5 linked regions of the Kluyveromyces lactis genome follow. The protein of the gene in region 3 interacts with the protein of the main gene of each other region in a biochemical or structural test. Links are inferred from orthologs where the notes say so. Each region holds a gene or a part of one and is shown on either strand. Other genes may lie near its edges. The genes, in order: APP1, SRV2, ABP1, ACT1 and SCP1.

Region 1 (6,683 bases), on a different chromosome or scaffold from region 3:
TAATTTTCCGAGGCTGCCATACACGATATCGTTATCCAATTGAAGGAACCCTCGCATAATGGCCTCATCGATCGATTCAGAGGTTAGGAAACCTACCCCTTTACCGTAAATTTGCCCCAATTGGTGGGCCACGTAGGGCACTAAATCCTGAGATAATTTTGCAGACGTGTATGGACCTCCATGTCCATCAAAAATTCCAAAAAAGTACAAATCTTCTAGGCTTTCGGATGATTCGGTTGGTACGGTGATAATCTGCTCAACTCTGTTATCTTCGATTGGAGCATTGGAAGGAAGTTGAGAAACATCATAACGAAGAATACCTTTTCCCCTATTAACAAAATATGATTCTTCTGATTTGTGTAAGATACTTTCTACTTGACGGTCGTTCAACAAAGAGATTGTGTTTGTGTTCGAATTTGTGTTCGAACTGGGATCAGATTTCCCAGTCTTGAAACCATCTCCAGAAGAGTAATGCTTGATACCATTTATCGTATCAGAACTGACGTAGTTGGTTAAATAAGAGTACCCCAGTACTAATGCACCTCCTATGACAGCATATTTCCATTCATTGGATCTGAGAAGGCCTGATTTTCTCTTTTGGTTAGAGGTTGAGAGCTGTCGACGCTGGCTTAAAAAAAGCATTTTCGAAAGATCTTTCTTAGAAAGGCACCTTGAGAGAGTTCTAGCAGCCCGGGACTGCAATAATGACGGTGGTGGCATGAATCTAAGTTATGTTCACAGTTGGAATATTTGAAACTCAATGCTCCGCACACCTGTAGTGGCTCGTCTTTCAATTTCGTGTTTCTCCTTGTTTGATTCACAAACCAAATTATATATTTCTTAAACTGTGAAATCCATACAAATATGAGATTTCTGTTAATTTCCATAAAACTGTCGTTGGATAAAAGAAGAAGAGTATTCGACGTTATCAATGGCGAGCCTTAGTATTTTCTACAATTTTTTGACAATGCTGAAGACTGCCGGAAAGGTAACTACTATTGTTCACTATGAATGCGCCGATGCAACCATTGTTAATATATTGAAATTTTTAAAACATGGCACCTCACACAGAAATGAATTAAAAACTTCCATTAATGCAACAAATGATAGAATAAAATCACTAATTATAAGGTGGTGGCATTATTTCGACTGTGTCATATGCTGCAATCTGAAGGGAAGCTCTTGCCTTTTATAGATCACGTGATTATGATTAAAGGTGTCACATCCGTCTGAAGTGATTTGGAAAATTTTTGGCATTGAAATGCAATAAGATCAAATAAGAGATGAGCATGAAGATGCTTAGGAATCGTCCTCTTCCCAACGCCGGATATATTACGAATTGAAGGTCCTATATTTGTTTCGGCTTAATCTGAAAACAGGGACAAAGTACACCCACTTAGAACCTTGTCAAAGATCTCTAAAAACTGAATACAACTTAGTGAAAGATGCCACCAAAGAAGAAGCAGCAGCAACAGCCTGCTAAGAAGAAGGACAATGTTGACAAAACGTTCGGTATGAAGAACAAGAATAAATCCACCAAGGTGCAAAAATTCATCAAGCAAGTTCAATCACAGCAGGATCCTGCAAAGGAAGAAATGAAACGGAAGAAGTTGGAAGAAAAGAAGATGAGAGAGGCTGCAGAGGCAGAAAGAAGAGCTTTATTCAATCCGGTACTGGACCAGAAGGTGAAAGCTGGTGTGGATCCTAAAACTGTGCTCTGTGCGTTATTCAAGATTGGTAATTGTAACAAAGGTGCACGCTGTAAGTTCTCGCATGATATGAATGTCGGACGTAGAGTGGAGAAGAGAGATTTGTATCAGGACACAAGAAGTGAAAAGGAAGAAGATACTATGGACAATTGGGATGAAGCTAAGTTGAGAAGTGTGATTTTGTCCAAGCATGGTAATCCTAGAACAACCACTGAAAAGGTTTGTAAATATTTCATCGAAGCTGTCGAAAACGGTAAGTACGGGTGGTTTTGGATTTGTCCTAACGGCGGTGATAAATGTATGTACAAGCACTCCTTACCGGAAGGATTCGTATTAAAGACTAAAGAACAGAAGAGGTTAGAAATGGAGGCCTTTGAGAAGAAGCCAAAGATCACTTTGGAAGAATTCATCGAAACCGAAAGGGAACGCTTGGATAAGAGAAATTTGACACCAATTACAATGGACAACTTTGCTGAATGGAAGAAGAACCACAGAATTGAAAGGCTCAATCTAGAAAAAGAGAATAACTTGAAGAAAAAACCTAGTGGACGTGAAGTCGTGCTGAAGAAATATACAGAAGACAAGAGATTTGATCTCGTCGATGAAACTGATTCCACGAACGGTTCAGCGTGGGATTTGACCGAGTTCACAAAAGCATTAAGAGATGAAGATAGTAATGGATCTAGTGGAATCAAAGATTATGGTGATGGTAGTAATCCTACTTTTGAACTGCCTAGCAGAGATGGCCCATCTAAACAAAGCACTACACTTACTGCCTGAGAAAAAGGACAGCACTTGCATACACGCTGTATATTTCAATGGTTGGTTGTCTTCATTTCAAAAATTCTCTTTGTCATTCATACATAAATATTTTGTCATTAAATATAGTTAATACTCAATTTGCAAAGAGAAATATATATGTTCTAACTTATCATTTTCCAGTTTCCTATCATAATGAATCAATTTTATTTATGCTATCTTCCAAGCACAAAATGGGATCATTGAAAAACATGAAGCTAGCTTTAACGTCGTTTTCTTTTAACTTTTTTACAGCAACTTTAACTCTTTCATTCCAACTTTCAGCCTTTTTATCAAAGAACTCAGAATATGTTCCATAATCATTCTGCGAGGATGGAATTGAATATACAGCGTTGTCCATACTGCGCATCTTTAGTCTTGTTGGTTTTCTAGGAGGTAAAGGTGGTTGTGTGCCAGACGATTTAGATTCAGAAATTTCACGCTGAAGAGCATCACTCAAAACTGGCTTCTTTTTTAGAACCTGTGGAGGCTTTTTTTTGACAGGCTGTTTTTTATCCGTTTTAGCTGGGGCAACATCTGAATCTGAATCTGAGTCAAATTGGATTAAATCGGGGATATCATCTTCTTCCTTTATCTGGTCTAAATAAAACTTTTTAATATGATCATTTAAAGCTTTCATAACTCTTACGTCATTTTCAGATTCATCACTCATTGAATTCTTGCAACATCTGATGTATATTCCAATAATCTGTTTTGGAAATTGACTCGCAGCCGATACGTAAGCTTCGAGGTCTTGCTCACCGGAATCACCTACCAGAATGAACTTTTTGTTCGGGAAATCATTGCATATTTTCAATATTGATGCAAGCTTTCTCTGTGCACTGGATTTCATAATACTTGAGAGTAAGTTACCAGAATACTGTTTGAGGAACATGGGTCCTAACGGATAGTTTTCACCAATATATTCCGATAATATTGGGTATATCTGAGCAGGGGCATTTGATACATAAAAGAAATCAACTGCTTTGCTATCTTTTAATGTCGTATACCATAATGGCATATCTTGAATTTTCCATTGTTCAAATCCGTTGACAAAAACGTTCAAAAAGATCGATCTTTTATCTCCAACAATACCTGTGTGTTTTATTGTATCATCTATGTCACTAATAAGTCCAACTCCACTGTTTTCGACATAAAAAATCTGGCAATCTTGGACTAGCCCGGTTTCCAAGCATTTAACTTTTGCACCAGCTGGTTTAAATTCGGTACTGAGTAAAATATTAAACCCACCAGAGTTATCAGAGACCGTTATTTGATCCATCTTATCATTTGATCCGTTATACAGCGTAGTTAGAAGGTTGACGTTCGGGAGATGTTTATTCATGAACCCCGCTATTCTTTGCCTTAAAACTTGTTCCTGTGTCAAGGGAGCAACCCCATCTCCCATTGACAGTTGACCTGAGCTTGTGGATGATGACGTCGTAGATGAACTGTCCAACGAGATATTAGAATCGTTTTGCAAAGATTCTAATCTTTGTTCAACGTTAGGTGGAGGATCGTTTCTTAAAAACTGTTTGCAAATAGACAAAAGAATACTGTTTCTTTTGCTTCGTTGACCGGTAGAATATATCAACCCTCTTAATTCTGTGACATAGATACTATCCGATAGTTTTCTTGAGTATGATGGGTAACAAAGCAGCTTAGGTGGGAACATTTGAAACTCTAAAGCCCTTGCCTCTGCAGGTGACATGTCATTCCCGTAATAGTTCTTCAAAGAGTTTTTGGCAGCATTGAAGTACGAATCCTTGGTGTGCTTCACCATATTATAGATTCGCTGTCTCCTACCATACGGCACGTTAGCACCCCATGAGGATCCATCAGCAGCTAAAGACGGGTCCATAGATATCTTTAATTTCGATTTCAACGCTTTAAGAGTTCTCTTTCTACGCAGTTTCTTATAAATCGAGACAGATCTTCTCTGATCTTTGAAAACACTATTCAACGGCAACAAAACGGCAAATATTTTAAATACGGTGGGTTTCCAACGTTTGTGTATTGAGTTGTGACTTGTAAGACCCTTTTAAACAGTTCGCCTGTAACTGTCCACTGATAAACGATCCGAGTCAATAATCACAATTAAAAAACCAGGAGAAGAAAACAGAGATCAAAGGAAAGATAATAATTTATCCCTTAACCGAATGCAGAAAATATGATTATTTCATTCAAAGGCACTTATTGAAGCGTGTTAGACCTTGTTAAATACAGTAATTTCAAGGCAAAAACCAAAATGCGTCTCTATATCATGTCTTCATCTGCATGTTCTTTTTGTATAAAGCCTGGATACTAAACCTTTATAAAACCTTAAAAAAATAATAATAAAGATTCCACATCCCAATAGTCCCAACAAAAAAACAAGCAACAAGAAAGAAAATGAAAAATCAAGTTTTGCTGAAATACTGCAACAACTGGAATATGACTTCCTTGAACCGTATGTGCTGCACTTCATAAGTATAATTAAACAAGAATATAACCTGCATGTAAAATTCGGGTCACGTGAAACACGTGACCCGTATTTTCTACCACTCGAATGAAAATATTCTTCCAGCTTATATAAGCGTTGATTATCTTCCGATCCCCACGCTACCTTCTTAGAGATTTCAGCGTGGGCAAACACAACGGTCGCAGATTCCCGATCCCACATTAAAGTATGGGTCACAAAATGGCTCAGCTCTTCCAGCCCTTCCCTTTTCTCATCACGCTACATGGGATGCATTAGGAAACCGGTAGCTCATAGAGATTAATGATACCATCAGCTGCGCAATCATTCAGCAACACCGGCTTTTAGTTTATGTAATTCATGAAACTAGGTTGATGCAAAACTACTTTTTTTTAGTTATCTCCTCTCCTCGTAGTCATATTGAAAAATGCCTGCAAAATGCTTTTTAAGCGATGAGTTATCAGAGATCACGATAATATAAAGATAGTTGTATTTCTATAAATTGGTTTGGAAAGCGAAAGGAACAAGGTGTTGGTGAGAACGCTTTTTAGGGCTTCACATTGTACAGCGCCTACTTCTTCTGTTTTCTTTTTGATTATCTTTTTGGCATATAAGAGTAACATATTTGCTTTGCACATAAGCCAAGAATTAGAGCGAACTTCCTAAACAGGTACTCCAATTTGCTTCGATAAAGATCTAAATAGGTTGGTTTTTCCGTGGCACAACGTTACTGAAATTCCTCTACTGATCGACAGTATTTGAATCCTAGAATACACTATTTATAAAAAGACCAGGTTGTCTTACAAACGAGAGAGGAAACACTTGGATTAGCATATAACACCACGGGAGATATTCACTCGAATAATAATCTCGAAGTTATTAAAGATATTAAAAGTTACATGAATTATAGATTGCATAAAACTTGCAGCACGATATGGGGTTGACTGTAGGAGAAGCGATCTGGGCTTCAGTGAAGCCTATTATTAAGATTTATATGATTATAGCGACTGGGTTTGGTTTGGCTAAGGGGAATATCCTTACCGTCGCAGCAACCCGGACATGCTCAGATATCGTTCTAACGGTCTTACTACCGTCGCTATCATTTAACAAAATCGTTTCAAGTATTGATTATAGGGATGCCAAGGATGTCGGTATCATTTGTTTGACGGCAGTCATGATATTTGGTACAGGGCTTTTCTTTGCATTTGTAGTTAGGAAAGTGCTTCCCGTACCGAAAAAATGGCGTGGTGGTATATTAGCCGGTGGGACATTCCCAAATATCAGTGATTTACCAATCGCTATATTACAAACTATGGATCAAGGTCTTCTTTTCACAGAAGAAGAAGCAGATAAGGGTATTGCTTCTGTGATTATTTTCTTGGCCATGTTTATGATTTGCATCTTCAACTTAGGAGGCTTTAGACTTATAGAAATGGATTTCGAGTACGCGGATGAGGAGAATGCCTCTATTCAGACACCACTCGAACCACCTGCGCAATCTAATGCATCTCAGTTTCATCTTCAAACTGATTCACAATCATTCTGTTCAAAAGAAAACGATCGTGCTGTAAATTCCATCAATTCTCAGGAAGCTGTTACTTCTCCAATACAGCTTGCTGAGGATAATGTAATTTCAAGGCGCCTTACTAATGCAACGGCGGCCAGTGCCCAGTCTCTCAGTTCATCGCTAAGGTCGATTGACCTAAGATCTATGCCTC
Region 2 (6,578 bases), on a different chromosome or scaffold from region 3:
TTTAACAAGTACAATTTGTTCAACTTGTATAAGAAATCTCAGGTCAGTTTTAGATCGAAAACACTATACCAACAGAAATGGACTTCTAAACAGGAAACTCGTGCCTACCATGGCGAACATTTAACAGAGAGTAGGTGGCAGTCTGTTTTCGAGCCTCAGCTAAACTCTGTGGCTCAATTAGATGCTTCTCTAAGGGGTGGTGATATCGAACCGACGCCCATTCTATTACAAACATACGCTGTACTAGAGAAAAGGCTAGACTTTGCTTTGTTTAGAGCTATGTTTGCCTCGTCAGTGAGACAAGCTCGTCAGTTTATTTTACATGGCAACGTCCATGTGAATGGTGTAAAGATTACTTCTCCGGGATATGCCTTGAAAGCTGGTGATGTTTTCAACGTCAGACCCGAAAAAGTGCTACAAGCTCTTGGTGCCAAGAAACCTAGCTTGAAGGAAGCTTTGAAAGTGGATAATACCCAAATTTTCCTATGGAACAAATATATTCTAGAGGCTAGAAAGAATCCTAGAAAGTTCTGGGATGAAAAGATCGAAAAACTAAGAACTATGGATAGTAACGATCCAAAGAAACAGGAATTTTTATCCTTCCTCGAAAACTACAACAAAACCATGCACATTCAAATGAGGAAAGAATTAGACCAAACCAGTAACGAGTATTTGTTAGCTAAGATCTTTTCTACCGTTAACCGCGTTAACGATGTAGAAAAATTGGCAGTAAAAGATTTCTTGGGCGAATTTTACAATAACGAAAATTTGGCAGCTAAAGGATTCGAAATTTATAGAGAAGTCAAGTCTGCCAAGGCTGTGGAAACGATAGCAGGGAAGCCTTTGGCTGAAATTCCTAATGAACAAGGTGAATTGCTAAAGGTGGCTACAGGAATAACTAAACCTGTTGATAACACAAACGATGCCTTAAAGAAAAAATTCAGAGCCATCAATCATACTATAGTTGATTTGAGACATTTCTATGAAACCGTGGTCAGAGAACATTATAATGACAAGATGGCATCCGTTGATTCTGTTGATATTCCATACGATGCTAAGTGGGCTGAAAAGTTACCATTGCATCAAAAGATCAATGTTCCTGAACTATTGGAAAACGAACCAGCTGCTCAAAAAGCTATCAATTTACCATGGCAAAAGGGTGTGTTTGGTCGTAACGATCCATCTAAACCATATTTCACTCCGTGGAAACCAAGACCCTTCTTAGCACCATTCGCCATTCTACCACACCATTTGGAAATATCATTCAAGACATGTCATGCGGTCTACTTAAGAGACCCTGTTGCACGTCCAGGTCAATCTGAAGTTATTACTCCATTCGGCTTACCTGTACATGAACGTTCATACATGTACTATGTGAGAAGGGGTAAATAAGTTGACGAAAACAAATACACACGAAAGAATGGATACACTGTGACTATGACAATTTAAAAAGAATGGTGTATCTTGGAAACCTTGTACATATTATTATCATTATTTTATCGTATCATATTATATTAATTATATATATATATTTATATGTTCTAATGAGTAAAGAATAAACTAACACCCAGTAACGAGAAGATATACTATTCAGATATTCAACCAGCATGTTCGTAAATCTTGGTTTGTAGTTTACCTTCGACGAAAGTGTGTATCATCTGTTCTGGAAGTGGAACTTCAACGAAGTCACCATCGGGACCAGTTGGAGTGTTGATGTTAATACCAGTGCTAGAAGAGGTGAAAATTTGAGCCTGTAAAGAGTTTTTACTCAAATAAATGGAGCCGCTATCAGACGCGTCGATGGTGATTTGTGGCAGGGTGTTTTCCACTTGAATACCAAATCTCAAACATTTAATAATATCCACACCACTGATGGAAGAATCTAGCACTAAACTGCATTTTTCTGTTTCATTGACAGTAACTGCGTTGACCTTACCTTTGATTTGTACCAATGTGTTGACACATTTACCGATGAAAACAGATTCGTCAATTTTAGTTTCGATCACTAACGGTTCGGCTTCATCTTCATAATTTTCAATAAACCATTTATTACCGATCAATTCCTTTCTTGGAGGCTTCTTAGTCTTCAGAGTAGATGGTTTCTTTGGTTTAGGTGGAGGAACAGCTTTGTCAGAAACCTTCCCTGAGGCACGAAGTTCTGGGTTCTTATGTGTTTGCTGAGACTTTTCTACTTTCTTTAAGGATTTAGTGATGTTTTCACCTTGGTTTAACTCAGCAAACACAGCACCGATTCCACCAGATTCTTGTTCTTTTGATTGTTCATTGACTTCGAATACGGAAGCCGGAGGAGGTGGAGGTGGAGGTGGAGGAGCTCCGGCGCCTGAACTATGCGGCTCACTGGAAGTAGCACCAGAAGAAGAAGCTCCGGATCCCTCGTTGGAAACTCTTTCGTATACGGTTTCGAAATCCTCACCAGTAGTGTCGTTCCAAGTCACACCTGTGGTATGGTATTCCTTAACGTACAGCTTCAAGCTATCGAAAACGGACAAAAATTGTTGGACCCATTCAACGGATTTAGGATCAGTGCTTCTGAATTCTTTCAAGATTCTATTTGTCCAAAACTGGGCAGCGTCCTTGAAATCAGTGATAGTAGACACAGGTGTAGATCCAGCAATCCATGAGAACAGTGGTGATCCCTCAGAGATAGCATTCAAATGAGCGAAATACTTACTGTTACGGTTCTCCTCTTTCAACTCACCAATAGAGAAGATGTTCTCGTTAATTGGGGTCAAACCTTTCACGAATGCAGATGACGAAAAGTCTGGCTTCTTTGATTGTACTGCTGCCTTTAAAAACACCAACTGAGCTTTGAAAGCGTTGGCTAAAAACACCACAGCTTTTTCAACAGTAGGATCAATTTCAGCGGATAATTTAACCAAAGGATCAACGTTCTGTTCAATGAAATGCTTAAATTCTTGAATTGATTTCGGTTCTTCCTCCTTCGATTCACCAGTACTGTTTGGTGCTGTTGCTACCGGTGTTGCGGCTTCTTTAGAAGCTGCTGATGCGCCTGAACCTGCACTAGCAATTCTTTCAGCAGAAGAAGCAGTAACAGAATCAGCGAACCCATCAACCTTACCGTCTTTCTCTAAGCCAAACTTGGATTGAACATAGCCTTCTTGATAAATCGTAACATCCTCCAATCTGGCAGTAGCATCCTCCAATCTCTTCAAAAGTTTTACCAAATTGTACCCCTGCACTGAGAAATTTGTTTCAGTCATTTTCCAACTTGCTTCAATCCACTCAAACGTCCTGATTACAGTTCACCGTCCGTATTGGAAGCCTTTCATACACCAAAATCAGAGCAAATGCCCCTATTAAAATGTTTCTCTTCTATTATTTTTTTGTTTTTTCTTGATTCCTTAAAAGTGTCTCTGATGAACATGTAAAAGTGACCATTGAGAACAAAGTTGACGAAAAACTCTGGAATGGTAGGTTAAGATGTTAACTTATGTTACGAAAGGAAACATCAGGTTACTATACGACTGTGGTACTCTGTTTCATTTTTCTTACGATTCAGGAAATTAGTACGGTCTTACTTTTTCTGGTTAAGATAGCAAAGGAGAATTCTGTTGTGTGTCCTTTATTGTAAATATGGCATCGCAGCATCGGAATGGTAATTCGAAGTCCAGGAATGGGGGAGGAAAAGGTGTAGGGAAAGGTTCTAACTCGTTGTTTGGGCGTGTTGGAAATTCTAGTGGCCAAAATCCCGTATTACAGAAGAAGCAGACTTTGGAAAGGGCAGAGAAAGCAAAGGCAGAAAAGGCCAAAGCAAAGACTGGATTGACATTTCTTGGTGGTAAACTTGTGTTAGCTGCTGATTTGCAGGGCAATAAAATGAAAGCCAGCTCAGATAAGAATAAGCAACAAATTCAATCGAACAAACGTGTCAATTTGCTTCATAATTTGAAGAATAGAGCTAGATCTAAGCAACGAAACAATAGTGATAACAGTAATAATAAGAAGTTGGTTATTTCATTGAAAGAGAGTTTGAAATGTTTAAAGATACGAAATTTGCCGATAGGAACGAACCCTTCTAATTTACAAAGAGTGTTACAACAGATGGGCAACTGCAAAGTTACAGACTTGAAAGTTATCGATCTTCCTACTGGTTCAGCCCACGCTGAGGTGTTTGCTTCCAACATGGATTTAGAAACGTTACACAAGAGGTTCAACCAGGCCGAAATTGATGGCAGAAGAATCTTAACAGAGATTTCTTCGCAGCCAGAACTTTAATTAAATATATTACAATCTCTGAAAGCGTTTTCGATAGCTTTTTAACTTCGATACACCTAACATAAAATACACGTTAAATACCGCATGTACCAACAACAAAAATATTGCAAATACACTTGTGTAATATCTATAATAATCATTAATCGTTTCCAATATCCCTTTTGATTGGTTTTGGCGGGTTTGCAAGTTTTCGTAACAGTGTTAGTTGGGCATCCCGTTTGGAAGGGAATCCTGACGCCAATGTGTAATACTCTAAAAGGTTCTGATGAATAGCCAAGCTGGCATATGTGTCCTTGCTTATCGTATTAGACCACTCTTCCTTTGTTGTTCTAGCACTCCCTACCCCTGGATGTTTCTTCCGCATATCTTCATATATCAGTTCCTCTTTCACTTTGTTACTCTGCAGTTAAGTCAGTAGTTAGTATCATTGGTCAGCATAGGATATTACACATAAATTGGAAAAAAAAAGTACATACCATTGTTTATAACTTCCTATTGTTCTCACTGATACCATTAACTTAGTCAAATACCTAGTATACTGACTGCTGTGACTCTTTTCATCCCTGTTTGAGATATCAACTCTATTCAAGTTACCATTCTCACCATGCCGACATTTTTCAAATATCGAATTTGAATATGTTAAAAATCTGTGAAAGATATAACACATACATTGCGCAACATCAACCTCATGATTGTAGCGTCCTGGTGACGGAAGAGCAATAGGGGTATTTGCATTTGCCAATTGAATTAGGCACACGGTAAATTGTTTTCATCATGGCATTGTACGACTGTTTGAATAATTTGGCTTCCAATCTTCCAAATGATGAACAAGTTACTTATTTTGACAAGACGTTTTTCGATGAACCAAGTCGTGGTGTAGAAACAATCATATCACAGTACCTTTCCTTAGATGCCAGTTCTCAGAAATCTGATTATGTGTATGATTTGTTTCTGGAAGCTTTTTCCTTAATCAATGGGAAATCTGATGAATCGGAGTTTTTAAATTTGGATGCTATCAGCAAAATAGTTAGTGCGTTATGCAACGAGGATAGATATAACTTCGAGCTATTTGTTTCGTTAGCGAATTCATACCCTTGGGAGGCGAACAATGGGTTTAATGATTTAGTTGGGTGTGCCAAGGATCTTCAGTTAGAGGTGTGTATTTATTTGAACGACCAAATTCTTTCAAAGGGTACAGAAAGATGGTCCAAAGATTTTTGGTCCGCATTCAAAAAGAGCATCGTTCCCGAGTTCTTCCTTTTGCAAAAACCAAATTTATTCCTAGAATGCTCTACTGGTTTCAGTCAACTGATAACGTTGTTGAATATCGCTTTTGAAGATGTTGACAAATTCCAATCTGTTCAATATTACAGTAAACAGTTGAAATATATTATGGGGAAATATAAGCTAGACCCAATCAGGTGCATGGATATACTATTACAAGTGTCTTCATATCATGTCGTACACCATTTTGAGTTTATTCTTGAGCTTTTGCAATCTACAGACTACTGGCCATCTTCGAATTTGGCCAACTGCTCACGGTATGAACAATTGAACCAAGGTGGTAATCCGATAGCTACCAGGTTGATAGTAAATTACCTTAATAATGGTAAACCAGATGCAAATTACATCGATTTAGTGGTTCATCTAATTAAAGGCGGGTTTGTCTCTTTTGCTGCTATATTCGATTGCCTGACCCCGTACGATACTGACATTGATGAGTTTGTAGAGAGGAAGCTGACGACATTGGAAAAGGAATCCTTGGAGGGATCTCTTAATCCGTTAGCTATGGCCTCCGTCCTTACTGACGAAGACAATACCATTTCGAAAAATACGGAAGGTGATAAAACCAATACAGCGGCAGATACTGGGATATCGGAGAAGGAAAAAGAAGCACTACTTCGAGAAACTGTTGAAAAATCACCAAAATGGAAACTAGTAGAGAGGTTACTTGTCAATGGGCACTTTGTTCCAGGATTGTATGCTCTATTCAAATATCCTCGGTTCTTTGCCGTGAACGATAGTCTCGTGAAATCTCTTCTCGAGGTGTTTGACAACATGATCGAACCCTTGACTGTAAAGTTGAGCCCTTCAGCTATTTCAGAACATTGTCGACCTCTTTTGAAGTTATCTCACAATGGAATTCCTACTAAACAAGATCGGTTGATCAGGCAATATAGGTCTTTGGGGAAAGACTACAAATACATTCAAGGGACAGAATTTGTATTTTACAATAAAGACTGGCGACAGAATTTGACTCCAATTGAAACGATAGAGAATCTCGTTCATTATTCACATCTAATATTTGAAAGCATCGGTCC
Region 3 (6,604 bases):
GTTTGTGATAAATGATCAATGGTATTAAGACCAAACAAAAAAAAAAAACAAAAGAAAATCCTTCGGGTTGGTTACACTTCTCAGATAACAGTCAAAGTAAGTAATTTATGGATATATGCAATATTCCTAGTTGATGTTATAAAAAGAATAATTAGAAAGCACCACTAATCGCAACTAACTTGCACTCAAAAGGCCAAAATCTCCAATTATTGATTTTCAATCTTCAACTTTCATTATCAATTTTCCTTATCCATCATTCTATTTTTTCCCTCTGATTGCCATGGTCGCAGCTTTTTTTTTTCATTTTCATGAGATTTCTCTTTCGAAAAACTGAAATTTCTGTCAGTATTAATCCAGACATGCTGCTAAACGGGCCGGAGAAAATACGGAGATACTTATCTTGAATACGTAGTTAGTTGTGTTCTTCGTGTTAAGTGATGTGCTCATGTTGATCGGGTAATATATTAATCATTTGCACTCTATAAGAGTAATGAAATAACTGTCTGCTCAGGGAATCCTAGTTTACAGTCTTTCGGATGCAACGCACGTGATCTCATTCATATATGGCAGTTTAAGCATTTGATTCTAAAGTCCGAAGCTGGCATTAGAATACATCTAAAACGTGTAAATTGAGTAGTGTACATGTTTAATATAGTTTACATTTCGAGTAAAGCTGTCTGAAGCTTATAGGAAGCTGAATTCTGACTTTGTGAATTCGGGATTTGATATGGTTATTATTCAAATGCATATGCAATGGAGTGTTTAGTTTATACTTCATGCAGGAGAGAAAAAAAAGAGTGTGAGATGAAATCGATAAAGGATAGAATGCAAATATGGTGAATGATGCAGATTCACTTATTTGGAATTACCCATTACGGTGTCGTCACTTTTGTTTTTAGTGGGTTCGGTAATGGTACCTGATGTTAGCTCTGGTAGGTTAGATTCGATTGATTTTCTGGAATTCAAGGACCCTAATTCCCATACAGTCGCCGAGTCTCCACTGATGTTGTCTTGTAAATTTGACCAAATATCACCATCATGCGTAGATGTACATGGGGGTTCATCGGTTTCTACTAGTTGGTAGTCCTGTTGTACTTCTTGTAGTCTTTTTCTTTGCATGTATCTGTAGTAGTTGTAATAGCATACGTCGATTAGTACAACAATCATGCCTAACCAGTTGTAAAATCCTAGCCTTTCATTGAATACCAGCATGCCTAAGAAAACGGTGAATAGTTCTTTGATGATCCCGGTGACACTTAAAGTTAATACAGGAGCCAATTGTAATATACCAAACTCACACATTGTTAATATGAAAACAAGGCAGCTAGGGAGTGTGAGAAGCGCTAATCCACGTAATAGAGCCGCGAGTTTCGAATGACCTTCCCAAGTCATCAATTCAGAATGCAGTACATCAGGAATCGGACGTTCCACTATGAATGAAGTGGAAAATAGAAGTATAGTCATTGGTAAAGCTAATTGATATAGAGTGATGACCGGGTTTTTCTTAGTAGCAGGTTTGTCAGCAGCCATCAACTCATCACCATCGTTGGGTGACAAGACAATGGTGTTCTTCTTGTGGTTGAGAATAACTTGAACGTAGACCCATCTGAACCCTCCTAGGGCACAACTTATCACCACAAGTATCACACCAAAGGTTTCCTGAATTTCACCATGAGTCTGAGAGCTATCTGAGTTTATTGGTTTTAAACCCATCATCACAACACCACAAAACATCAATGTCACTATAATGAATAGTCTCCAAGATGGTACTTCCACCTTGAATAGACAGCCAAAGAAAAGAACGAATGCAATAGTAGATGATTTGACAATTGTATAAACAGTGAATGGAACGTATTTGAAGGAAATGTTGCCTAAACCAATGTCACCAGCAGTTGCTATAGCAGTTGGGATAATGTACTTTGCATAGTACTTCCAATCACCTTTGTTCAAGTTTTCGGGGGTTAGTTGACCTTTCCACCGGAGATACAGATATGCCATACCCCATAACTGTGTTTGGTGCAAGCCTGTCACCAACAATGGGTATGGAATATGCAAACTTCTATTAGGATCGAACATCCATTTGTTGTACATGGTAAGAAGAATGGCTGCAATATACATCCCCATGATCAAAGTGAAGATCCTCACTGTGTCTCTATCCATCTTCATTGTTTTTAGCTATTTTATATTGACAAAAGTACTACGCCAGGCTTCTTCTAATTTTGTATTAATATCTCGTCTCCCTACAGTAGCAATGATTCACACAGATCTCCCAGAACTTCCATTAAACAAATCAATTGACTTCGAGGTTCTATGTTATTTCATTCTCTACATGTGGTAGGCACAAACCTAGTTACGCATCTTTTTCATGTTGAACGAAACCTATTTTCTTCTTAGATGCTTTCCTATGGATGAGGCTGGTGAAAAAAAAAAAAAAAAAAATTAATGAACCACTAACAAATGAGACTAGGACCCTATTGAGATAACTTACAGGGTTTTTATGAACCGGAAGCCGGAACGTTATATATCAAAGTAATCGTCGTACCAATTTGGCTCCCAAAATAATGTTGTTTTTGACATCTTGTGCCACCTTGTCAGAGAATATCAGAAGGATTTTCCCAAAAGATACAGAACAATCACCAGCTGAATATACCTTCAAATTAGTATGTACCAGCTGTAGAGAGGAGCACGATTCCCCTATTAGAATCAATAGGTTTGAATCTCATGACATGCCTGGAAGTAAAGGAAATGCCTCGTTCGTGATGAAATGTAAATTTTGTGGCAATGAGTGTTCAATAAACTTGACCAGGACTAAGGAAGACTTATATAATTTAGATGAAGAATCTAATTTCGAATTGATTGAACAGGGTAAAAAGGACAGAAAGAAGGTTGGCTTACGTTCTGTTCCTGTGGAAAAAGCTGTTTGGCTCGAGCTTGACTGCAGAGGATGTGAAGTAACTAAATTTGAACCTGCTGACACTATTTTTGTAGCTGAACTAGTTTCGAAGAAGGAAATGGAGTTTCAGTTTGAAGACGACGAAAACGAATGGTATGATTATGATGACGATGCTGGAGAAGAAGTGAGCGTAGTAGATATGAACTTTGAAATTGTAAAAGGCAAATAAGTAGACTTTTGTTTAGTTTACTTTTGTACTTTATTTCTTTAACATTATTTACTTGTAAAGTATACATGATATATTCATTTCAAAGTCCCACCAACTTATAACATCATCATTTATTAACAATGATAAAGTTAGAGTAGTGGTAATTTATTGGATCATTCCTCTAAGTTGACGTAATTACTTGGGAATAGACCCTTTTCACCTGATGATTCAAGTTCACCCAACCACCAATCATCATCGACAAATTGAATATTAATGATTCTTTCATTTTCTTCAAAAGTCAATTCATTATCTTCGCCGGCTTCGTAATCATATTCAGCAATAGCTGATGGTCCGGATTCTTTCTTTCCAGGTTTGGATGCTCTTGGTGCTGGAGATGGAGGAGTATTTTGAGACTTAGAAAATGCTCTTTCATCATCATCTTCTTCGTCCTCGTCACTTTCCGGTGGGGGTGGAACATTTCTCCTAGTTGGTAGAGAAGGAGCTTCTTCCTCTTCCTCTTCCTCTTCCTCTTCCTCTTCCTCTTGCTCCTCCTCTTCCTCCTCATCGCTTTCGGGTGGGGGAGGAACATTTCTTCTCACAGGCAACGAAGGAGCTGGAGTTTCTTCCTCTTCTTCTTGTTCCTCCTCATCACTACTCCAGTCATCGTTTTGTTCCTTCTTTTGATCATGCAGACCTGGTAGTGGTTGGCCAAACTTGTTCTGTTTCTTGGTCCAGCTGTCAGATGAGTTGATCTTAGAAGCTTGAGGTCTAGATCTGCTAGAGTCACTTGGTTTTATGATAGGAATTTCCTTAGTTTTAATTGATTCAAATTTTGATCTGACCTCTTCAATCTCTTCTTCAGCTTCTTCTTCTTCGTTAGAATCTGAGAACTCTTCTCTTTGGGTCTTGTTCTCTAAATTAGATGGTTTCTTTTGTCCCTTCTTTTCAGCCCAAAGTTGAGCTGGTGACTTTTCATTCTTGAAACCCTTGATCACCTTATCGTCGCTATCGTTTCCTGATGATTGAGCTGAGGAAGAACTCTTTGGTCCCAAGACTTTGTTGTATTCTGCATCCCTCTTTAGCTTGGATTCTTGCTTTAATTTAGCAATCTCAGATTGAGGATCAATCTTTTTGTCGTAATTAGGCCCCGAAACAACTAGACGGGGATCTTCTTTACTGTTTTCTTCAGCAATCACTTTTTGTAGATCAACTTTACCAATTGGTTTCCAGGAAGAAGAATTTGGTTCTAGTGGTTTCTTGTCGAAATCACGTTCTTCCAACTCTGGTTCACCCCATTCATCGTCCTTCTTACCTCTGCTCTTCTCAGTCTTTGGGGGAGAAACGGATCTTCTTGATGGGAACGATGGTGTAGGTTCCTTTTGCTCAGATTGTCTGGATGAAACACTGACTGGTTTCTTGGCTGTCTTGGCAGCAGAGGAAATTGGCTTCTTGGAGGCCGGTGTTTGTTGTTGAATTGAATAACGGGCACCAGCGGAGTTGCTGATTTTCATTAACAATTCAGATTCATCTAAGTCATCCTCATCTCTGGCGGTAACCTGAACATGGTAGGTCTTAAACACTTGATTAGAGATCACACCGAAATTCTGAGCAAATGAAGCTCTGGTTTTCAATGGAGCGGAATCTGGACACCAACCAATTAAAATCAACTTCTGAACATCAGAACCTGGTGGAGAAACACGAGCTAAACCGTATTGAACCTTGGTATCATCGAAACTTTGCAAAAACTCGCTGAAAGAAGTACCGACTAGTTCAGGTTCGTATTGTTTCTTAGAATTTGGCGAGATGATCAACCAAGTAGTATCTGGATCACCCTTCACAACCTTCAGGTACTCGGCCTCAATGGCACGCGAGTGTGTAGTAGTGTCAATTGGTTCAAATGCCATCGTAATTGCTATGCCAGACTGATAACCCTATAATAACTTAAGATCAATAACAACAAGAAAGGAACGTAATGCACCTCAAATTTGTCTGGTAAATTGGCAAAAACACACACTAATTCAATTGACTTTGCAGAATTCTTGTCTTAAGATATTTCTATATTTGTTTAAATATATATAAAGGTAGGATGGTACAATCATTCCACCAAACAGCAGTGGATTGATTCATGTTTAATAATTTAACCTAGTTCAAATATTGCATTCATGGCGAATAGGAGACAATTGTCAAGATTTTATTTCATAGGTTACCCGGAATATGAACTGTGGTTTTAGTTTCGAGAAATTCGTGCAGATTTCATTTAGAGAAACAGCGGTTGACATGAAACCGGGTAATATTTAGTACCATGAACAGCGGTCAGAGTAGAGAACGATATTGCAAAACTGTTATTAGCTTTATGAAGAGTTTTCTTATCAAGGAATCAATAACTATTTTTTGGAATAAAGCTGTGATGATGTTTCTGTTGGAACAGGAAATTAACTGTCGGTGAGAATTTCAAATTGCTCGATGTTCTATTAATTATTCTCCGGCCAGATTTCAGCTTATTTTCCACTACGAAACGGACCTTATGCTGAAATCACTGTTGAGTTAAACATTGGTTATAATGATGGGGGCCTTACCACAATAACTGATCCCGGAACGACTTTCCACGTTCATGATTCTCATATATGCATGTTAGGAAACTATGCCATCGCAACTCTGAGAAAGGTACTGGTAGACAAGCTCCGAAATCGATAATATCGATACCGGCAGGTTTGTATTCACTGACGCACTATTTGAAAAATAGGCCTTCTTCGAGATTATACAAGAAATTATCGAACCCAAGGACAAGATTCAGATCGAGTAAATATCATATATGGTCAAAATACGATTTAATACAAGCCTTCATCGATTTATGGGCGTATATGTAATGGCAACAAATTTATTTCTACCGGTGATGGTTCCTTTTCCCCCGCGGCTGATGACGATGGTGGGGTTACAGACGAACTTGGTTATTCGAAACCATCTACTACTTTTTCTCCACTGCAAAAAGAACTTGTATCCGATTTTGAAGCTGTTAAATTGGCTTTTCCCCGTTCCTTTGGCCTTTATGACGCAAGATGTAAATAAAAATGTCCGAAACTTGTCACTTAGCAGTTATCACCGAAGTTGCATATTGAGTGGAGCATTAGAATCCTATTTCGGCAAGAAAATATCACAGAAAATGGGGGGGAGGACGGATTAAGGCTTTTCAAACAAACTATACAACGAAGCTATGTATAAGGACAATCAATTGTCGCTAACTGACGGTCAGTTGCCCATTTGAGTGTCGTTTCATAAGAAAATACATGTGTGGAATTTGTATCACGTGACTATGTCTATGCGATACCTTCCTAAATTGTGGGTGTTAGCCAAAACATTTGCAAGCATTCGTAACTAATTTAGAATCTTAACCGTGTTCAAAGAGCTTTCAACATTCAAATTATTGGGACTTTTCATGGAATTACACATATTTCCTTACATTGTTAATGTGCTCCCCATAAATAAGTTTAAATTCATACACGCTG
Region 4 (7,012 bases), on a different chromosome or scaffold from region 3:
TCACAATACGCAATTGAGATATGAAAAATGCATTTGAAGTGAAAAGGTTGATCGGGCTGTTAGTTTGTATCGGTTTTATGTTAGGTATGGATACTTCGTCTTTATCATTGTTTCTTGGGACGAGCTATTTCAAAGAGTATTTCAAACAGCCAACTGCACTACAAACAGGTATGATGACAGGGGCCAACCAAATTGGTGGGTTTGTGGGGTGCCTAATGTCTGGGTCTTTGATAGAACTCATTGGGTGCAAATGGTGTTTGTGTGCTTGTAGTGTTATTTGGACCATGGGATCTGTCGGATCTTTTTTTGTGCTTGAAGTTTACACAATGGCTCTGAGTAGATTTGTAAAAGGGATTGCAGTAGGTATTCTATCTGTGCTTGCTTCATTCTATTTGATGGAAGTTTTTTCAAGCAATATAAGGGGGCAGGCCACAGCTTTAATGCAGATGGCTTTAACAATCTCCATTCTATCCATATACTTTCTCTCTATGTTACTTGATAAAATCCAAGGTCCCTTGGCATTTAAGATTACTTGGGGGTTAGAAGTGATACCCAGTTTATTGTTATTGATGCTATTTCAAGCACTACCGGAGTCGCCAAGATGGTTGTATAAGCATGGATATTCCAACAAAGATATAGATCGGTCGCTAGCGATTTTGAGAGTGAAGGATGTTGAGAAACTCAGAGAGAAGTTCGTTAGTGAAACGAAGCAAAAGCCAAAGCTTTCCTATATTATCAAGAAAGGTTACTGGAAACACATGAGTCTCGGTATAATAGTCCAGATATTAATTCAAATCAGTGGTATTAATGTTGTGATGTATTACACTATTTACATATGTGAAATGGTTGGCTTTGATGATGATGTCAGCTCGAAATTAACCGCAGGACCTTATATTGTCAATACGATATTTACCTTAGTCCCTGTCTTTTTATTAGACAAGTTTAATCGCAAAGTATTCATCGGGTGGGCAAGTGTATTTTTAGGTGGTATCATGCTATTGATAGGATTCCTAATTGGTGAAAGGGAAAGGCACGTCGGCGATGTTGTTTTGAGAAATATAGTTGTCGCCTTATGTTTCCTCTTTGTTTCGGTATTCTCTTCATCATTGTCATGCGCTGGCTTTATCTATACTAACGAAATCTTACCAGAATCCATAAAATCCGTGGCCTTATCAGTTTGTATATCGACAAGTTGGTTTACAGGGTTTGCCCTTGCATTAATGGCACCTTATTTAATGCAAATCGTAGAATGGTGGACCTTCGTAATGTTGGGAACATCAACAATAGCCTTAGCTTTCATTATAATTATGTGGTTTCCTGAGACGAGAGATTTGTCACCACACGATATTGACAATCTATTCAAACAAGACGCGCTGTCAGCAGAAGTTGAATATGAAAAGATAGAGTCGGATCAAAGTGCAGATTTTGAAAGTATTCCCGAGAGGTCTGGTGCGCCAGAACCTGACTCATTTGTGTGTACCACTACTACCACTGAAGTGACGGAACGTTGAATTATTAGTTTAGTCTTGTTTATCTATTGTACATATTAAATAATTTACTATTTCATAAACTAAGAATAACTTTCAACACTAAAAATCTTTGTTCTGGAACATATGATGATTTTAAATCCTTTTCAAATTATCAGATGATCAACTTAAGCAATTAGCCTCGCACGAATATTCAATAATTGCCGTATATAACTTTCAATTGGAGTTGTTTAATTTTAATGTTGAATTTGAATTTCGTTCGTATATAATCTCGGCTTATTAACTTATTAACTTTCATACTAAACTACCCACTTCATTTATATGAAGTAGAATATTCCAACAACATAAGATAGAAGATTGGAACTTGAATAATGACTGTGCGATCGAAGATAAATAAAAACAACACACAAAACAAAATTATAAAAACAAAGAAGATTTGGAGTAAAATCGTCCCTATATGAAGTTTTAATAATTGTTAGTTTTTTGTTTCATAAGCTTCAATTTTTGGGTTCATCTATATGAATCGATTCATCGTTTATTTTAATTGTATTCTTTTTATAAGAGTGTCAAGTAAAAAAAAGTGAAGGAGATTAGAAACACTTCAAGTGAACGATGGATGGACCAGATTCGTCGTATTCTTGCTTTGAGATCCACATTTGTTGGAAAGTGGTCAAAGAGGCCAAAATAGAACCACCGATCCAGACAGAGTACTTTCTTTCTGGAGGAGCGATGATCTTGACCTTCATAGAAGAAGGAGCCAAGGCGGTAATTTCCTTTTGCATTCTTTCAGCAATACCTGGGAACATGGTGGTACCACCGGACATGACGATGTTACCGTACAATTCCTTTCTGACATCAACATCACACTTCATGATGGAGTTGTAAGTAGTTTGGTCGATACCAGCAGCTTCCAAACTTAGAACAGATGGATGGAACAAAGCTTCTGGAGCTCTGAATCTTTCGTTACCGATAGTGATAACTTGGCCATCTGGTAATTCGTAAGACTTTTCAACAGCGGATGATTGAGAAGCAGTTTGCATTTCTTGTTCGAAGTCCAAAGCGACGTAACATAGCTTTTCCTTGATGTCACGGACGATTTCTCTTTCAGCGGTAGTAGAGAAAGAGTAACCACGTTCAGCCAAGATCTTCATCAAGTAGTCGGTGATATCTCTACCAGCCAAGTCGATTCTCAAGATAGCGTGAGGCAAGGAGAAACCGGCGTAGATTGGAACAACGTGGGTAACACCGTCACCAGAATCCAACACAATACCAGTGGTTCTACCAGAAGAGTACAAGGACAAAACAGCTTGGATAGAGACGTAGAAGGCTGGAACGTTGAAAGTTTCGAACAAGATTTGAGTCATCTTTTCTCTGTTGTTCTTTGGGTTCATTGGAGCTTCGGTTAACAAAACTGGGTGTTCTTCTGGAGCAACTCTCAATTCGTTGTAGAAGGTGTGATGCCAGATCTTTTCCATATCATCCCAGTTGGTAACGATACCGTGTTCAATTGGGTAACGTAGAGTCAAGATACCTCTCTTGGATTGAGCTTCGTCACCAACGTAAGAGTCTTTTTGACCCATACCGACCATGATACCTTGGTGTCTTGGTCTACCGACGATGGATGGGAAGACGGCTCTTGGAGCGTCGTCACCGGCGAAACCGGCTTTACACATACCAGAACCGTTGTCAATAACTAAAGCAGCGACCTCTGTTTAGAATAAAAAACCATCACGAGTAGCAGAATGCAGATTAAGGAACTAAACCGTACGTTTGGGTAGGTTAGGTGTTCCAAAAAAGTGAATTCAGCCATCCCAAATAGAAAAATAATTGTTAGTAACATAAGATAAGAAAACAAAAGTAACAGGTGCATTTTGGGTGATCATGAGGTTATGTGATTGTTCAACGCTAAAAGTCCTGTCGCGGACAAAATAGGGGCTAACCTTAGCAACCAGAAAAATAAATCAAAAAAAAAATAGGGACAACCGAACCACGAGGGGCAATGCCTGCACCACTTAAAGGTGTACTTTGATTCCTTCTTGGACTGGAAGGAATAACATTGTAATATAAAATCACATCATCACGTGACATCAAATTATCTTTTTTTGCCTATATTTTCCAAATTTCTTTCCAATTCGCCTCCTAAATCAGGTAAAAAAAACCCAAAATCCAAAGTTAGTCACCCAAAACCCAAGAAAAACACGTTATAGTAAGAAGGTAGAACCAGGAAATGAAAGATCCAATTCTCGAACAAAGCTTCTAATCCAAACCCCTATATATAAAAAAAACCCATTCAATTAGCGTTGTACATCTAATTCTAAATCTGATTTAGGGAGTTAGAGAATGGACAATGGCAGCGCAAAGCGCTGCCATTATCCTATCTTTTCCCTCCCAACATTTAACCGGAAACCTAACAAAGTAATAAAACATATCCAAACTTTTTAACCACCCAATTAACCCACCGTAATCAAATATACGTTTCCACACATACCAGAATCCATATTGTTATACTATAGCGCGTGAAGATGTTGTACAATTCCTTTTGCAATCAACAAAAAAACCGTTATTCTGAAACAACCTTTCTTCTCTTTGGATCGTAAAAGACAGTAAAGAAGGAGGAAACAAATCAAGATATTTCTTATTTTTCTTGTAAATTAAATCAAATTTCAAACTCTCTCATACAATAAATCGCACTAGCTGTCCAGAGAAACAGAAGAGAAAATTTCGAAAAAACAAATTAAAAAAAAAAAAAGAATTCTGATGAAAAATAGGAGACGATTGTCATTGTCCACGAGGCGGAGCAGTTGCGGTAATGGTTTTCTAGTGGTTACGTGGGATTCACTGTACAGCTGGAGGGGCGGACTTGCAATTGAAGGCTTTGTGAAGGCTGGAAGTTTGATATAACGTTGGTAGGCTGTCGGTAGAATAGTTATATCGTAGTATATTGTATTCATGAGGCAGTTATCGATCTCTGGATGTTAGTACATCTGGTTTATTTTACAATTCATTATGACCGCATATCGTCTTAATCCTCCGTATATTAATGTGTATATTCAAAATCACGTGACATATATGTACGTTACCCGGATTATAATGACTCGGCAGTTGAAATCTATACGTGAATATATGTTACGTGGATCATCATCAACTATCATTGAAGCAACGGGAAGGTATTAATAGATCAGGTTAATATTCGACAGTACATTTATGTACATCTATCTCTATCTCTGAAGAATCTCACCCACCCATTGTAGAATGGCTGGAAAATCGTCCAAGAAGATTGCTGCAAAGAACGCAGCCATCTTAAAGCAGTTGCACGTACTAGTCGTCGCTATACTATCTTTAACGTTATTGAGGAAATGGTTCAGTAATGGGCTGATTTCAACCCTAAAACCTATTCTTTTCAATGTGCCGATGTTGTTATGTTTATATATTCTCGAACGTACCGGTAGACCAAAATATGAAGTCAGTAACGCTGCGCATGGAAAATATAAACTAGTTAATGAAGGGTTCGATTTGGAATCTGGTGGACTCACTGAATACATGAAAGATATCGTGTATGTTTCCTTGTTCTGTAACCTGGGAACAGTTTTCTTCAACACGATGAAATGGTGGTTCTTGGTATTAGTGTGCCCTGCGTTTATTTTCTACAAGTTGTACTACTTGAAGCAACAGTATTTCCCCGGTGCCTCAGCTTCAAAGGCGGATCTCGCAGAGACAACGCCCGCTGAACCTTCCAAATCAAAGAGACAATTGAAGAGGGAAAAACGTGGTGATAAATCTCAGGTAAGATACCGATAGATTAATGTTAGAGAAGGGGTTGTATATACTATATCCATCATATATCTACGAATACATTCTCTTATATATAGAGAAAGTAAGAAAGAAAGGAATAATGATTGTAATTGAAATTAAGTCTAACTATAATAGGCTCTAAATAGACAACCACCGGCTCTTTCGTTAAAGCTATGTGGGGCAAATGGTGCTTAATGTTGTTTGTGATGTATACGGGATATTAATTCTTCGAAATATGGTAATTATCAGACAGTTCTTAAATTCAGTTCCTGATTTTTCAGACACTTAGTGTATAGTAACATAGCGATGATGCTATCCAATTTAGCAACAACCACCATTGGATCCAGTCAATGATTGGCCCTTTAAGTTGACGTTGGACTTGTCTTCAGCTCTACCATTATCTTTTTGTTGTTTGGCGACACTTTCCTTGATTTGCTTGGTCATGATCAAGAAGGCCTCCTCAACGTTAGAAGAATCTAGTGCACTGGTTTCGATGAATGGAATTCCAATAGAATCTGCGAACTCTTTAGCAACTTCGGTGTCAACCACCTTCTTATCTGTCAAATCGTTCTTGTTACCAACTAGTAACTTCAACACACCAGCTGTACCGAAACGGTCGATTTCTTGCAACCATGTCTTGACGTTGTTGAAGGATTCTTGGTCTGTTACATCGTAAACGATAATTATACCGTGGGCACCACGGTAGTAAGAAGATGTAATAGTTCTGAATCTTTCCTGACCGGCAGTATCCCAAATTTGTAGCTTAACAGTTTTGCCATCTAACTCAACAGTCTTGATCTTGAAATCAACACCGATGGTGGATATATAGTCGTTGGTATAGGTATCATCGGCAAATCTTAACAATAAACAAGATTTACCAACACCGGAATCACCAATCAACAATAATTTGAACAAATAATCGTATTCGGTATTCATTTTTTCTTTGTTTGCTTGTAGTTTATAGCGACTGATACGATTCGACTGTTTGTTAAAAAATATGGGCTCCTTTTGTAAGTTGTGATTGGATGGACTGCGTTGTAAGTTTACAATATTTCTCTATTTTAAACACACCTTTCTGTATCCCTCGTTGTTAATATCTCTCCGTTAAAGAAAATGAGTAAAGGAAGTATAAGATAAAATATGATAACAACCCCAAAATAAAAGTCTATCCTTTAGTTAAGCTTTCAGTAAATATGCAACAGTAACCAGAAAAAAAGCAAGCGTCTTATCAAACCGCATTTGGAATAACTGAAACTATGCTATTGTTGCTTAATAGAATGTATTTCGGTCCAGGTTTCACTGTTTGAATTTTGTTCTCCTGAACGGAAAAGATTCCACAAAAGATTACCATCACGTGACACAGAAATACACAGTGTTGTTGATATAGATCAGTAATGAACCTGTTACACTACACTGAACTATTTCGGACAAGTAATGAAATGGATGAAGACATTACAAAGTTCAGGTAACTGATAGGAATGATTCGTAGTAATCTTTAGGGGAGATGTGAAACTCTACAAAATCTCACAGGATGTAAGATGCGAATGCAAGAATCTTTGCTTGGATGAGTTTTTTCTAAGTTAAGATACATATATATGTATGCATGTGTATATCTAGATGCTCTACTGACTAACTTGCAGGAAGACTCTATGAATGAACTTAAGTTTCGAGTTTCTAACTGGTTCTAGCGTTTTCAAGCAAGGATTCTATCAAAGAAGACTTTAGCCAAATGT
Region 5 (5,714 bases), on a different chromosome or scaffold from region 3:
CTTATATGGACGGATTTTTCGTCAGGGTTAATATCTACTTTATTAAGAGTCTGAGCGATAGCATATAACAAGGAAAAGAACTTGTAATTTTCAGTTAACTCTTTCACCTTATTTTATTTTTGTTTGAGTTTCCAGTTAAATATTGGAAACGCTTTGGATAAAACTTTTAAGTTAGGTTTGAACAATAGGCTCATTGATACAAAAAATATAAAAAGACCTATTTACGGACCTTTGTTTCTCTTTCTTTTTTTGTTTCACTGATTTCAACTGGTTCTACAACTGATTTGGTGTGTATACGGATTTACGCTGAGTTTCAGTTTAGTGACTCAAAATTATAACTCACACGTTTCGATCTTTATCCTCCAAAAAGGCTCTCAAATCAGAACTACAATCGGTATTTGATGGCAGGTCCGTCTTCAACTAACCCGACAGGATTATCGTTTTCTCATCTCAGTTATTTGACCTTTGAATCTGTTTTACAGGTAGTGATCATTTCATTTGCAGGTTTCTGGTGTGCTTATACGGGACTACTACCGAAACAAGGCCAAAAAATTGTTTCTTTGCTAAACGTGGATCTTTTTACACCATGTTTGATTTTCAGTAAATTAGCCAAGTCTCTTTCCTTGGCAAAAATTTTGGAAATTTCTATAATCCCGCTGTTCTATGCCTTAACCACAGGTATTTCCTTCCTTTCTGGTAAATTGTTATCGTATTTGTTCGGATTTGATGTCGATGAAACCAACTTCGTAGTGGCTAATTCGATATTCGGAAACTCAAACTCTTTACCAGTTTCTTTGACCCTTTCTTTAGCCTACACTTTACCGGATTTAACTTGGGACCAAATCCCTGATGATTCAAGGGATAACGTTGCGTCAAGAGGTATACTCTATCTTTTGATTTTCCAACAAATCGGCCAAGTGTTGAGATGGTCATGGGGTTATAACAAATTGATGAGATGGTCAGAGGATTCAGTTCATCACAACCATCGTATTTCCTCTCAATTGGAATCGCAGGCTACATTGGGTAATGACCCAAATAATGTTTCAAGTCTAAGTTTGCAGAGTGAATCCACTTCTGCAGCTTCACAACAGGAAGTGAATCTACGTGAGAGCCCATATTATGCCGGTACTTTTACGAAATTGAAACAGCAGACGTGCTTTTACATTGCTAAAGTTAGAAGTTTTATGAACCCTCCTTTATATTCCATGTTGTTCTCGGTAATTGTTGCGTCAATCCCACCTTTACAACATGAATTTTTCCAAGCTGACGGTTTCATCAACAATACACTATCTGAAGCTATAGCTGAGTTGGGATCAGTTTCCATTCCATTGATCCTTATTGTACTCGGTTCAAACTTGTACCCATCGGGAGAAACTGCTGCTCTCACCAAAAATCACAAAAAATTAGTTTTCGCATCTATAATGGGACGTATGGTTTTGCCATCATGTTTCATTCTACCGATAATTGCTGGTTGTGTTAAATTTATCAAAGTTAGTATATTGGATGATCCAATTTTCTTAGTGGTTGGGTTCATTTTGACAGTCTCACCACCTGCAATTCAATTAACTCAAATTACCCAATTAAACGAATTCTTTGAGGCTGAAATGGCCAACGTTTTATTCTGGGGTTACGTTGTGTTAACTCTTCCGATCTCGATAATCATTGTTTCTATTGCTATTACCGTCTTACAGTGGGCTCAATAAATTGATTTTGGCCCCCCTCCGCTCATAGTCAGACAGATTTAATATTCAAATATTCAGTAAGCGGTTAATAACTTTATTTCTCGTATCACCTCGCTTCCTAATTCAACAAATACATATTCGAACATAGTGATCATTTCTAGTTTATTTGTCAAGTATTGTGTGAAAGAACACCTCATTCTTTTCTTATTATTTAAGCATGTATGAATTGAGTTACTTCAGTAACATGTCACGGCCTTTTTGCTCATCTAGTAAACATGTATGAAAAGAGCCCCGAGATGCTAATATTTTATAGTGGTAGAGGCCAGTACGACTGGACTTTAGATTTGACAGTTTTCAGGAAGTATTCCCCCAATGTCTCCCACGATTCTGCATGAATTTTGCTTAATACAGTCGCTAATTTCTAAAAATCTTGAGTAAAGAGACGCCCAATTTTTCCTATATGTAAATCCTTGTTGGATTTGATTGGCAATTACATTTCAAAAGTCATTCAAATGGTTGTGTGGCCGAGCGGTCTAAGGCGCCTGATTCAAGATACCAATCTTAACCAACCTTACAGTTGGGAACACTCAGGTATCGTAAGATGCAAGAGTTCGAATCTCTTCGCAACCATTATTTTTTTTGTTTCGTTTAATGGATCGTTAATCATCTGCACTAGTTTGAATCGTAGAAACTCTACGACTTCAGAAGCAAGATCTTGATGTCTTCAAGGTACACAATCGGTACCTTTTTAAGTGTTGCTTGCCCTTATGAATATGTTGTGCTTTTTGTTACATCAATCAGCACTAATCTTTTCGCTTTATGTACAGATTGCCAACTAATGTATAAAAGTCAAAAGACCCTCAGTAGAAGGTAAATTTGAGATACATGGTTGCCCAAGCATCAGAATATTGCTTGATCGGTCTCAATACTTAGTGAATCGAATGGCTTTCCGGTTAGGAATCTCAAGGTGTTCAATTCATTGTTATATCACGTTTATTTCCGAAAACAATACCCTCGGTGGATTGGTTTGCGCCCTTCATGTAACCATATTCTACAGTACTCCATCCAACATTCTTTAAGTGCGATGGTTTTCCTTTCACAGGTGGTCTCGGCCTTTTTGTTGATAATTGTGGACCTATTACTGGGAACAGGTCAGGGTGTTTGGAATTTGCATATCTGGATAATGACTTAATGGTTTGGTAGACAATTGCTGGGTCTTTTTCCTCATAGAGATCAACAGTCTGGAAAAGTTCATCTTGTGGAACTCCGTACTTAGTTGCGAACTGTAAGAACATACTTATTTGTTCCATTTGAACAAACGCAATTCTTGAACTTTTCCATTTCATTGAATCGGACACTCCTGTTTCTTCTTTTAAGAGTCTATTAGCAAGCTTACATAGCACAGTACCATCTTTTAATGCATCCAAAAGACTGTCGTCAGGTGATTGTTCTTCAATAATAGCATAAATCCATCTCTTTATTTCTGTTATATCATGTTTGTTGAACTTCTTACTTCTTGATTCTTTAAGATCATCATCCAATGATGTCACATCAGGCTTGATACCGTAGCTCATGTTTTAGTAAGATTAGCTTTAGTTCCCGTAGCTCAACTAAAAAAAAACTGAACGTAATCAATAGCTATCCCTCTCATCATACTTTCTGTGGTGTGGCGATATGCACACTCGTTAAGTCTCTTAATTTATGCCTACACATTAAAAAACCAAACTCAAAAAAGATGGCGCTACCACATATTATAGACCCTCAAAAGTGTACTTGAAATATATGGAGCCAAAGAGTCAATATAAAAAAGAACAGTTTAAATTTCTGTAAGCAGTATTGTTAATGCCTACGAATCACGATTCTCTGATGGAGACCCATTGTACCAAAGAGGAAGTTTTAATGACAGATATTTTATTAGCGGTAAATAGAAGTGAATGTATAATTATATAGAAGGATGCCAATAACGTGCTGTCAATATCGAGAGATAACTGTAACGCTCAAGTAACCAAATTTTTAGAAGGATGCATTACAAGTGCTTTCGAAATTGTTCCGGCAGATATCATTTAGACTAGTTGTTAATCAGTTCTTAAGGAGAAGGATGTCTGAATCGTGCTGCCGGAAAGCAATTGTTCGTCGTTGTAATATAAAATTCATTGACGTTTAACGATCTAAATTAGAAAATTCCCCACTATCTCATCGGTCTTTGATGCAAAATTCTCATCGAAACAATGGTCATAATCTTTTTCTGGATCGTGCTGTGCAGATACAGTCTGGGCTCTGGCTTCGCCATGAAGTTGCATTAATTTTAAAAGGTTGCATTTTTCTCTATAAATGTTCAGAGCATACTTGGCTAGTGATCCAACAAGTGGTGTCTTTTCATGGAGGTTGACGTTGTAAATCTTGTTCTGAGAAATGGCGAGGTCAAGCCAAATAATTGTGTTTTCGTATAGATCCAGCACCATTGGAATATTAAATCTCGAAGCTGATAGAAGATCAAACTTCTGCTCGACAGTTTTTGGCTCGAAATGTTCTCCACTAATATTGTCCCTAATCATGAAACCAGCTTTAGCTGTGAAAGTGTTAAATTTTTGACCAGTATAGGAATTAACTGTCACAGCAATATAGCGTGTTTCTGGGAATGCTTCCTTGATATCATCTAACTTAACGTCTATAAATTCAGCGGCACCATTCGTCGCATCAGTGAAATCTCCAGAGTGTGTGACGGCGCCATTAGCCAAATTGTAATACGCAATTTCTCCTTTGTTTTCGAAGTTATCTGATAACTGCAAACATGATAAGTCAACATCTACCCTTCCTTCGTGTGCTGCGCCTTGTGTTTCCTTTATATTCTCCCAGTATAAGAACAACCGAATTACCTTGGAGTTCTTATCAAATCGCATCTTGGACCCTCTGCCAAAAGTATGCAAAGCCTCTGATGCGTCCCGCAATCCTATTGGTGGTATGTAATCCTCTAATATTGGATCAATAAAGATATTGCCTAAAGGCTCTAATTTACTGAATCGTTCTATCAGTACAGAGTCGATGCCCTTATACAAATTTGAACAGAGTTCTGAGGAATAAGTCTGGCGCTCGTCTTCATCTTCTATAATGGCGTTGGTTGCAGAGCCTTTTGGCAAGAAAACACGTATGGGTGATATTTCATGACGATATTGAAAATGAGTGGAAAGATTCAGAAGTAGCGGTGTCGATACAGACGATGCAACATCCAAAAAGCTAATTACAATTTGAGCATGCTCTGTAGATGGATATGAACGCAGAAGGTGATCTAACCGACGAGCAAAGTCACCAGGCCTTGCTTTCAAAATATGTATAATTGATTCTAAACTGCTTTCCATGTTGCCTTCATTTTTAAGGTCCTTTCTTGCTCTTAAGGCTGTTTCAATTGTTCTATTGAAGGTTTTTATCGATTTTTGGTTTCCTCTAATTGTTTGGATCATTTTGGCTGCGTTTGGATATCTGCTAGCGTAAGCATTGACATGTAAATATTTAGCTAATACAAGCCAGAGGCCCAAAAATCTCAGTATATCCTCCATTGCCGTTTCACGATCCAATTTGTTTAACGCGAACAGTAAGAACTTTCTTTGAGAATTTGATATTTTGAAGCGCGTGTGCTTAGTCAAAGCCACATCTGATCCAGAGAACGAAGCTGCAAGACGTAAAACATCTGTAGCAGTCTTGATATGAGTGGAAAACAATTTCTGTAATTCCTCATCAAATGGACCAGATTTTGTAGCAGCGCAACCAATGATGTGCACAAGGTTTTCTTTGCTAGGAATAACTTCTGGTAAAGAAGATTTCCAATCGTTCCCAGTGGCTATCACTGAGTTGATGAATTCTTTGTCAGAGGCAGAAGTTGAAGTCTTCGAATTAGCGAGGTTTTCGAAAAGTTCTAAGACCACTCCTCGGCCGACTATATCCAATGTCGTCAATTCTTTGCCAGTGATTAATTCAGGACGCTTAATGGCCTCCTGTAACTCTAAATCGGGATACTGTCTACCAAACCATGATCCA

What was found.
Region 1: the proteins of ABP1 (region 3) and APP1 interact in a test that uses a peptide from one of them, tested with the Saccharomyces cerevisiae proteins (2 studies listed by BioGRID). The link is inferred for Kluyveromyces lactis from reciprocal best matches to the Saccharomyces cerevisiae genes ABP1 and APP1.
Region 2: the proteins of ABP1 (region 3) and SRV2 form a complex in vitro, tested with the Saccharomyces cerevisiae proteins (4 studies listed by BioGRID, with this or other methods). The link is inferred for Kluyveromyces lactis from reciprocal best matches to the Saccharomyces cerevisiae genes ABP1 and SRV2.
Region 4: the proteins of ABP1 (region 3) and ACT1 form a complex in vitro, tested with the Saccharomyces cerevisiae proteins (2 studies listed by BioGRID). The link is inferred for Kluyveromyces lactis from reciprocal best matches to the Saccharomyces cerevisiae genes ABP1 and ACT1.
Region 5: the proteins of ABP1 (region 3) and SCP1 interact in a test that uses a peptide from one of them, tested with the Saccharomyces cerevisiae proteins (2 studies listed by BioGRID). The link is inferred for Kluyveromyces lactis from reciprocal best matches to the Saccharomyces cerevisiae genes ABP1 and SCP1.

Annotation. Positions count from the first base shown.
Region 1 is NC_006039.1:1,165,309-1,171,991, reverse strand, and holds APP1 (phosphatidate phosphatase APP1), read right to left. Parts: upstream 4,369-6,683; coding exon 2,659-4,368; downstream 1-2,658. Other genes in the region: type 2C protein phosphatase PTC5, read right to left, coding at 1-720; translation machinery-associated protein TMA46, read left to right, coding at 1,446-2,489; putative ATPase ECM3, read left to right, coding at 5,900-6,683. UniProt on the Saccharomyces cerevisiae protein: Mg(2+)-dependent phosphatidate (PA) phosphatase which catalyzes the dephosphorylation of PA to yield diacylglycerol. May play a role in vesicular trafficking through its PAP activity at cortical actin patches.
Region 2 is NC_006037.1:1,001,934-1,008,511, reverse strand, and holds SRV2 (adenylate cyclase-binding protein), read right to left. Parts: upstream 3,243-6,578; coding exon 1,599-3,242; downstream 1-1,598. Other genes in the region: NAM9 (mitochondrial 37S ribosomal protein uS4m), read left to right, coding at 1-1,392; KLLA0_A11616g (uncharacterized protein), read left to right, coding at 3,616-4,257; U2 snRNP complex subunit YSF3, read right to left, coding at 4,397-4,657, 4,734-4,736; THO2 (Tho2p), read left to right, coding at 5,032-6,578. UniProt on the Saccharomyces cerevisiae protein: The N-terminal domain binds to adenylyl cyclase, thereby enabling adenylyl cyclase to be activated by upstream regulatory signals, such as Ras. The C-terminal domain is required for normal cellular morphology and growth control.
Region 3 is NC_006042.1:941,227-947,830, forward strand, and holds ABP1 (Abp1p), read right to left. Parts: upstream 5,006-6,604; coding exon 3,275-5,005; downstream 1-3,274. Other genes in the region: YMD8 (Ymd8p), read right to left, coding at 856-2,166; KLLA0_F10153g (uncharacterized protein), read left to right, coding at 2,562-3,122; KLLA0_F10198g (uncharacterized protein), read left to right, coding at 5,726-5,968. UniProt on the Saccharomyces cerevisiae protein: Regulates ARP2/3 complex-mediated actin assembly. Recruits ARP2/3 complex to sides of preexisting actin filaments, which may promote nucleation or stabilization of filament branches. Binds to actin filaments, but not actin monomers.
Region 4 is NC_006040.1:458,699-465,710, reverse strand, and holds ACT1 (actin), read right to left. Parts: upstream 3,986-7,012; coding exon 3,976-3,985; intron 3,196-3,975; coding exon 2,078-3,195; downstream 1-2,077. Other genes in the region: KLLA0_D05379g (uncharacterized protein), read left to right, coding at 21-1,511; SND2 (Snd2p), read left to right, coding at 4,740-5,285; Rab family GTPase YPT1, read right to left, coding at 5,601-6,215; PER33 (Per33p), read right to left, coding at 6,973-7,012. UniProt on the Saccharomyces cerevisiae protein: Actins are highly conserved proteins that are involved in various types of cell motility and are ubiquitously expressed in all eukaryotic cells.
Region 5 is NC_006040.1:540,426-546,139, reverse strand, and holds SCP1 (Scp1p), read right to left. Parts: upstream 3,257-5,714; coding exon 2,654-3,256; downstream 1-2,653. Other genes in the region: KLLA0_D06380g (uncharacterized protein), read left to right, coding at 402-1,703; KLLA0_D06281g (TerD family protein), read right to left, coding at 3,851-5,714. UniProt on the Saccharomyces cerevisiae protein: Has actin-binding and actin-bundling activity. Stabilizes actin filaments against disassembly.